Callithrix jacchus: one gene and its partners. The protein of the gene in region 3 interacts with the protein of the main gene of each other region in a biochemical or structural test. Links are inferred from orthologs where the notes say so. Each region holds a gene or a part of one and is shown on either strand. Other genes may lie near its edges.

Region 1 (3,523 bases), on a different chromosome or scaffold from region 3:
TGAGCCAGGTTCCAAACCAGGACCGATGACTGAAGACCGCATGCTGAATTCTGACACTGTCCCCAGCCTTGGCTTGTTTTGTCCTCCCAGAGATCCATTGAGGTGGGGTCATAGTAACTATTTTACAGATAAAGAAACCAAGGCTGAGAGCAGGAAGGGCAAACTGAGGGCAGCTCTTGCATTTGTGTGGCACTGTGCAAGCCGGGCTCAGCCCCGGGCTCCAGGCCGAGACTCACACACACTGGCATGAGTCTACACTGGATCTTATTGGTCACCTGAGCGGTGGCCCAAGGACACATCTGTAGACCAGTGATCCAGAACTCCAACCACGTTCTCCTACTGCCCAAGACCGCTGAGGACAGCCTCCCTTCTCGGGGCCTGCATCCTGGGCCAGGCCAGAAACAGAACCTAACGCCTTGTAGAGCACCACACATGCCAGGCTCCTACCTCTGAGTCCTTGCCCAGGCTGTTCCCTCTGTCTAAACACCAGGCCCTCTTCTGGTTAATTCAGATTGGAATTATAGAGTCTAGCTGAGATGTGACTCTTCCAGAGAGGGTCCAGGCATTCGAAGCCACTCTCTGTCATGTCACTTAGCTTTCTGTGCCTCAGTGTCCCCACTTAGAATACAGGTTCATGTTGCAGGTTTCTTGTGAGGATTAAGTGAGATAATATACACAGTGTGCTGAGTTTAAGGCCTGCTCCTGGTGTGCACCCAGTTAATGAAAGTCATTGATAAACACTTGAGGAAGCAGAGAATCATGTAAGCCTGAAAAAAATCACTGCTTTGTGCTCCTTTCAGGAGTGGCAGGTGAGGAGGAGCTGCAGGTGGTGCAGCCTGAGAAGTCCGTGTCGGTCGCAGCTGGAGAGACGGCCACTCTGCACTGCACTGTGACCTCCCTGGTCCCCGTGGGGCCCATCCAGTGGTTCAGAGGAGCCGGACCAGGCCGGGAATTAATCTATAATCAAAAAGAAGGCCAATTCCCCCGGGTAACAGCTGTCGCAGACCAGACAAAGAGAAACAACATGGACCATTCCATCCGCATCAGTAACATCACCCCAGCAGATGCCGGCACCTACTACTGTGTGAAGTTCCGGAAAGCGAGCCCTATTGACGTGGAGTTGAAGTCTGGACCAGGCACTGAGCTGTCTGTGCGGGGTGAGTACAGCGTGGGCCTCCTTCATCCCCTGGTTTGTGACAATAAGCCAATAATAACACCCTCCGTTCTTTGAGCCATGACTAGGTGTGGTGGTGGGTGCTCCTTTTCATGAATTGATGTCTCCCACTTTTACATATAACGGAAGTTGAGGCCTGGAGATGCCCTGCTATTTGCTCAAGGCTCCACAGCTGGCAAAGACTGGGAAAGTCAGCATCCTTCCTTCAGCTGCCTGGGTCTGCAGCCCTTGCCACTTCTCATCTGCCCCAGCCCTTTGGTTCCACAGATGAGGGAACCAACAGATAGAGTGACTTGTCCAGGCACAGGGCCAGACCTCACCTGCCGCCTCCAGAGAGTGCTTCCCTCTCGGGGTGGTCAAGTCTCCTCTAAGTGACAGGCACCCACTAAAACCTACTATGTGCCAGGCTCCACCAAGCTTGTGTTCTCATCTTTTCCAATAAGAAATCCACCCAGGGCAGCGAGGAGGGAGGGTGTGCTTTTCTTTATTCCATCACCAAACATCGACTGAGAAGATTCCTAAAAGGCACAGATTTACTGTTTAGTCTGATGGCCCTGGTGAGAGGGGAAGCCAGAGGTCCCGGCATTTTCTGTGGGTCTTTTAGAAAAAACCTCGTGCAATTTAGGGACTGATTTATGCAATCACCAAAAGCTCTGAACAAAGCGGGGTCATCAAAGAATGTCCCCCATTCCAGGAAAGAGGTATTCCTTCTGGGTGACTTCGGGTTCCTCAGTTAAGGCAGCAAAGATGCTCATTTGTGTTTGTTGACAGGGCCCCAGGATTCTTGTTCTAGCTCCTGGTCCTGGGACATTAGTACAGGAAGGACCCTCAGACCATCCAGCCCAACCCCCAGTTACAGGTGGCCACTTGAAGTCAGGAGATGACAGGGGCCTTGCCCGTAGTCACAGGGCCAGTTAGTGACAGGATCTGGACCAGAGCCCACATCTGATTCCAGGGAGGCTCCTTCCTGCCCAAGTGTTAAGCATTGTTTCCATAGAAAAGCCTGGAGCATCACAGGTGCTCAATGAAAGCTCCTTGAACAGAGCCAGTAAGCAGGGAGCCAGCACTTCTCCTTTTCATCAGTTTCCCAAAGGTTCAGAATACTCACATTCAGACCCCATTGGTAACTGGAAAACCTCACCCAAATGTAAACCATGTTATTTGAAATGGAGATTTCATATCAGGACATAGAGACCTGTTCTGTTGTGTAATAGTTACCGAATACTCCAGCTTATAGAAATATGAGACTTATTTTATAGTCTTCTATTGATGGCTATATAAGTTGTCCCCAACTTTGAGCTATTAAAACAGTCCTGCAGTGGATGACCTTTAGCATGTGTCACCCTCCTCAGGTGGGAGATGCCCACTGGAGGTGCCATTGCTAGATCAGAGGGTGTGTGTGTTTTCATTTGTGTGGATATGGCCTTATTTCCATCCTAGACATAATAACAAGTCCCCCCACAACCGCTGGACATAGGCAGGGAGGGTGGCTTTATTCTGATCGTGCAGATATTACAGGAAAAGACATTGAGGTTTCCAGATGAGGCATCCCATGCCTAGACAATCGCAGCAAGTAAATGGCTCAGGTGTGACCCAGTTCTGCTGACTCCTAGTACAGTGCTCACTCCTCTTTGCCATGCTGTCAGCCTAAATGATGTCCTGGATGAGAAAGGAGGGAGGCAGGAGGGGGCCAGGGAGCAGCAGCTGGGCCAGATCCTGAGTCTGGCACTTTCTCCCTTTATAACAAGTACTAGAAGGAAGAGCCATGTGTTTGCCCCTTTTACAGATAAGGACTCTGAGGCCCAGAGAGGAGACCTAAGTGGTGAGCAGGTTGTGGAGCCTTGAACCACAGCCCCTGTATCTGTAACACCCAGCTGTGCTTATCAAAGTGGAGAAATGTTCCACCCTTCTCATTCCACTCTTGCAGTTCTATAGCAATGAGCATAGGCTGAGGCAGGAGAATTGCTCGAACCCAGAAGGCGGAGATTGCAGTGAGCCGAGATCGTGCCACTGCACCCCAGCTTGGGTAACAAAGCAAGACTCAGTTTCAAAAAAAAGGGAAAACAAAGCAAAAAATCCTATGGAAGTAGGAGGGGCCAGCCCCCATCAGAAAGGTCCTGCAGGTGTCTCATGATACAGGAACCTGTTCCTAAAGGACAGGTCTCAGCACATCACTGAGCAGCATCCATGGAGCAGAGTCGGGCCTCCTGCAGCCCAGCAGACCACATGCCCACCTACTCATGGTGCTGAGGACTAAGGATGCGGAGATGAGGCGTTTCCTGGGTGGGTGCTTTGGGCCCATAGGAGTAAGAGTTTCTATTCTCCCCTCGGGCTTTCAGGAGCCCACCA
Region 2 (2,223 bases), on a different chromosome or scaffold from region 3:
TGGTGTTTCACCATGTTGGCCAGGCTGGTCTGGAACTCCTGACCTCGTGGTCCACCCACCTCGGCTGGGACTCTGTGCCTTTATGCCAAAGACAGCCAGGGAGGTTCTGGTTCAGCCAGGAGCATGGAGTCAGATGGACAGGATTGTTAGGGGACCCAGCCCTTCCCCAGGACCTGTCCTCCATGGAGTCAGACACCCACATAGGAATGCAGACAGAGGGGTACACCCCATTACCTCTGGAGACCAAGGCCAAGAGGCACCTGTAGGACTCAGGACAGAGGCCCTTCCCAGCCTACCTCCCTCCATCATGAGGCACGCACACAACTCAGGGTGCAGAGAGGAAGGTGTGCGATCAGAATAAACGGTTCCCTCCTCTATGCTAGCCCTCAGCTCTCCCTGCAAGAGGAGACCAGTGTCTGCCACGTCTGTGGGTGTCCTGTGGAATATTTTCCCTGTGCATACACGTGGAACTCTACAGTGTCTTTTACACACATGGTAACTCAATACACACTGCACTGCAAGCTGCTTTCAAAAAAATGCATTTATTATATCTTGGAGAACATTCCAGACCAGCGCAGTTAGCACTGCCTGCCTCTGACAGGCTGCAGAGTACCGTATTGTTGTACATGCAGGAATTTTATGACTTCCCTCCTGATAGAGGTTCGGGTTGCTTCCTGTTTGGGGCCATATTCTAAGAGATGCTTGTTCTTAGAATCAACATCCTTGTTCTGTATCCCTGGGCCCCTTTATAAATAGTTAGGAACGAATACTTAAGTGGACCTGCTGGGTCAGAGGGTATGTGCATTTGAAACTTGGGTAGATAAGGCCAAAATGCCCTCCAAGGGGTAGCCCCAACTTCCAACTACCCCCTTGTTAATCCATCCTCCATTCAGCAAAGTGATTTGTAAAGATGATTACATGTAATAATCCTGCTTAAAACTGCCAGGAGCTTCAGTGGGGACCCACACTTGCAATTCTGTGCGAACAGGGCCATGCTTCCTCCCCTCCTTCAAGGCTTCAGCCACGCCAGGCTTTCCTGTCCCTCCCACACAGTGGCTTGATCCTACAACAGGGCCTTTGCACGTGCAAGGTCCTTGCACCTAGTGCCCTCAGTTTTCAGTCTCATATTGTACCTCCTGGTGCAGGGTGCAAGCCTCCCAGCCTCAGTTAAATGTAGCAGCCCGAGGCCAAGCCCCCAGGTCCCCCACTGGGTGGTCCAGCTGGCTGCTCTACTATTGTGCTTGGGTGCTTATTGTCAACTCCTCCTGTGAGCTCCTAGAAGTAGAGATTCGGCCAGGCACAGTGGCTCACACTTGTAATCCCAACACTTTGGGAGGCCGAGACGGGAGGATCATCTGAAGTCAAGAGTTCGAGACCAGCCTGGCTAACATGGTAAAAATTAGCCAGGTGTGGTGGCACGTGCCTGTAGTCCCAGTTACTCGGGAAGCTGAGGCAGACAGGAGAATCGCTCGAACCTGGGAGGCAGAGGTTGCCGTGAGCTGAGACCATGGTGTCATTGCAATCCAGCCTGGGTGACAGAGCAAGACTGTGTCTCAAAAACAAAAACAAACATGCAAAAAAACCCCACAAAGATTCTTGTCTGTGTGTCCAGTGACAGTGCCTGACACTTAGTAGGTATTCAAGAAGGAGTTGCTGGCCGGTTAATCTCTGCCAATCCGAGGGTGGTAAGTGACATTTTACTGCTGTCTTCAAGTCTTCAGGTCTGTTTCCTTGCTGTCTGGTGAGGTCAAGCATTGATGTTTAAGGGTCTGTTTCTTTGTAATTCAATTGCTGCCCATGCCCTTAACCTGTTTGCCTTTTGGGTTTTCTATTTCTTATTGAGTTTATGTTCTCTCTAATAAAGGTAAGTGAGCTCTTGGTCTCTCATTTGTGTTGCAAATATTTTTTTCTTCCTCAATCGATACTTTCAAGCTTTGGACTAATTTTTCCATGTAAGTTTCAGTTTCATGGAGTCGAGTTCATTAGTCATTTCCTGTATGATTTTTTTTAAGAGTTGGGTCTTGCTGTGTCACCCAGGCTAGAAAGCTGGTGTGATCATAGCTCACTGCAACCTCCAGCTCCCGAGCTCCGTGGATCCTCCTGCCTTGGCTCCTGGGTAGCTGGGACTGGAGGCCCATACGATTTCTAAGTGTGGTGTGAAGAGATCCCTTCCCCTGGCTCTGTGAGGCCCGGGGCTGGGCTTTTCCTGGAGTAGGAGAGGGC
Region 3 (2,882 bases):
ACACCATCCCTACCTCCTGTGCTGACCACCTGGGATCCCCTGAGCTCTGTGCTTCTCCAATATGGAGATGAAGGGGGTATTCCCTGGGCCCCCCAGACCTGAGTCTGCCCCCAGGGACTGGGATGACATCTTTGGGGACCCCCAGGACCCCCCAAATTGACAGCAATCCAGAGGACCTCCGCTCCTTTTGGCCTGCCCCTTCTCCCATTCCAATGGAAACCAGCCTCTCTTCTCCTCCCTGGTCCCGCCCACCCCACCCAGAGCCCAGCAGAGAAAGGGACGAGATGCCGGGGTTCCCTGTCCTGGGGCGGGGCTCACCACCACCCCCGTATCCTGCAGCATTACACCAAGGACAAGGGCGCTATCTGCACCAAGCTGGTGAGGCCAAAGCGGAAGCACGGGACCAAGTCGGCAGAGGAGGAGCTGGCCAGGGGTAGGGGACGCTCGAGAGGGCCCACCTCCTCCCCTGCCCACATTAGCGCAGCCCAGGAGGAAGGACCCTGGGGCCCTGGGCCTCTAAGGCCAGATCACCCAAGCCTGTCCCCATGCACAGCTATGGGATAGAAGACCTGGGCTGCCTTGGGGTCCACAGACGCCGATCAGTCCTTTACTCACTGGGCCCCACCTTCTGCTGCTCATCTCTGTCACCATCATCCGCCATATCATCTGAGCCAGAAACCTGGCCCCGAAGCCCCACCCACCCACCTCCCCGCCCCAGCATTCCCTCTTTGGCCTGGTTCCTAACACCTGGTGCATCTGCTCCCCTCCCCTCCCCACAGCCCAGCCTCAGTCCCTCTCATCACAGGACCTCCTTCCCAGGGGGCAAGTGCCCCTTCCAGGCCAGGCCCTGAGTGCAGCCCCAAGGTTATCTTTCTATCATGAGATCCTGCCTCTGGGGAGAGAGGCCCGCAGCTCTACTACGTTCCAGAACCTGCCCCCATGGCCCGAGCCACCCTTCCAGCCTCATCTGCAAAGCCCTTCCTCCACGCATCCACCCCGCCCAAGTCAACTGTGATCATCGTTTCCTTCATGCCTCTGAGCCATTGTTGATTCCATTCACTTCGCCTGAAGTGCTTTTCCAGCCCCTGAGTAGTGAAATCCTCAATATTTAAGCTCAAAAGCAAATGCCTCTTCCCACCCCATGTCTGTCTCTTTGAAGTACATCTCTCCTGGGGAAGTCTGTACCCATCGGGGATGGCACCCAGGTGGAGACTAGCATCACCCTGACCAATGATCCCTTAGGAGTTCCGCATTTGGAGGGGGCGCTTTCTGGAGGGAGGGGGAAGCCTGCAGAACCAACCAGAGGACAGTGGAGGGGCCAACACAGGAGTGCTTGGGAGAAGGGTCAGGGAGGCCAGACCCCTGGAATATTCTGGAACCTTTATGGGTTTTAATTTTATTTATTCTTTTGCCCTGTGTGTGTTTCGGTGGTCAGAGGTAAAGGACTATGTAGGGAAGAGCCCAGAGGGCATTTGGAGGGACAAGAGGTCTCCAGGTAGCCAAAGAGAAAAGGGCAGCTCTTATCTCTGAGACGTGAAACGTTTCCTGGCACTGCCCCCTGGGCCTGACAGGGAGTTCCTGGAGGGCAAGTGTGGAGTCTGAGGGTCTTCAGCCAGGCCCCCAGCTTTGACCATTCACCCCACTGTCCCTCCTACAAGCTCCTTTTTGCTCAGGTCAGCCTGAGATATCTGTTGCTTCCAACAACAATAATTGGTACCAGGAGTGGGGTGTCTCTGACATGTCCCAGGGGCATTGCCAGGCCCAGCAGCCAGTCACATGTGTCTCCACAGCTGCAGCACTGTGAGACATCACCTAGTCTCACCAAGTAGAACCCCCAGTGGGAGGGTTTGGGGGGCCTAGTACCGCCCTGACTGGGTCTTCACTCCACAGCGGGCTGGTTGCTGAACCTGCAGCATTTGACGTTGGGAGCACAGATCGGAGAGGGAGAGTTTGGAGGTGAGTGGACAGACTGGGCTGGGGGTGCTGAAGAAAGGTGGAGGGTGCATATTGAGGCTTTGGGGTCACAGAGCCGAATTCAGACCATACTTAACCACCTACTAGCTGTGCACCTGAGGACACACAAATCGCCTGAGCCTCAGTTTCCCTCTCTGCAACAGGGGGTCATGGCAGCTGTCATGAGGAGTACAGTAACTCAAGCAGGTGCCCAGTCGACGTTAGCGAGTTCTCCACACTCCCTCTGCTTGGAACACCGTTCCCTGAAATTAATATTCTGGAAGGCTCTGGGGTGTCCGTCAGGGGTCAGCAGACTCTGTCTGTAAAAGCCCAGATTGTAAATACGTTCTCCTCTGTGGGTCAGGTAGTTCGTGTCACAACGGCTCAAGCCTGCCCTTGTCTTGTGGAGTGAAGGCAGCCACAGACAATATGTAAACGTGTGGGCGTGGCCGTGAAAACGATGGCCCAGAAATTTGAATTTCATATAATGCTCACATATCCCAAAACGTATCTTCTGATTTGTTTTTCCAATCCTTTAAAGATGCAAAAACCAGCCAGGTGCGGTGGCTCATGCCTGGAATCCCAGCACTCTGGGAGGTCAGGGAAGGAGGATCCCTTGAGCTCCAGAGTTCAGGTCCAGCCTGGGCAACGTAGCAAGACCCCCATCTCTACAAAAAAAAAAAAAAAAAAATTAGCCAGGCATGGTGGAGCATGCCTGCAGTCCCAGCTACTCAGGAGGTTGGGATGGGAGGATCCCTTGAGCTCAGGAATTTGAAGCTGCAGTGAGCTGTGTTCATGCCACTGCGCGCCACACGGGTGAGAGACTGAGACTCTGTCCTAAGCAATCAATATTTTAAAAATAAAAATGCAAAAAACATTTTGAGCTCCAGAGCCTTGCAAAAAGAGGTGACACAGTAGATCTGGCCCCC

Evidence for each region.
Region 1: the proteins of MATK (region 3) and tyrosine-protein phosphatase non-receptor type substrate 1 form a complex in vitro, tested with the Homo sapiens proteins (3 studies listed by BioGRID, with this or other methods). The link is inferred for Callithrix jacchus from reciprocal best matches to the Homo sapiens genes MATK and SIRPA.
Region 2: the proteins of MATK (region 3) and LRRK1 form a complex in vitro, tested with the Homo sapiens proteins (2 studies listed by BioGRID and IntAct, with this or other methods). The link is inferred for Callithrix jacchus from reciprocal best matches to the Homo sapiens genes MATK and LRRK1.

What each region holds. Positions count from the first base shown.
Region 1 is NC_133506.1:9,495,697-9,499,219, forward strand, and holds part of tyrosine-protein phosphatase non-receptor type substrate 1, read left to right. Parts: intron 1-800; coding exon 801-1,157; intron 1,158-3,523. UniProt on the Homo sapiens protein: Immunoglobulin-like cell surface receptor for CD47. Acts as docking protein and induces translocation of PTPN6, PTPN11 and other binding partners from the cytosol to the plasma membrane.
Region 2 is NC_133507.1:8,917,028-8,919,250, forward strand, and holds the end of LRRK1 (leucine-rich repeat serine/threonine-protein kinase 1), read right to left. Parts: exon of another isoform or gene 2,048-2,223; intron 1,739-2,047; coding exon 1,276-1,738; 3' UTR 524-1,275; downstream 1-523.
Region 3 is NC_133523.1:3,553,207-3,556,088, reverse strand, and holds part of MATK (megakaryocyte-associated tyrosine-protein kinase), read left to right. Parts: intron 1-339; coding exon 340-433; intron 434-1,890; coding exon 1,891-1,956; intron 1,957-2,882.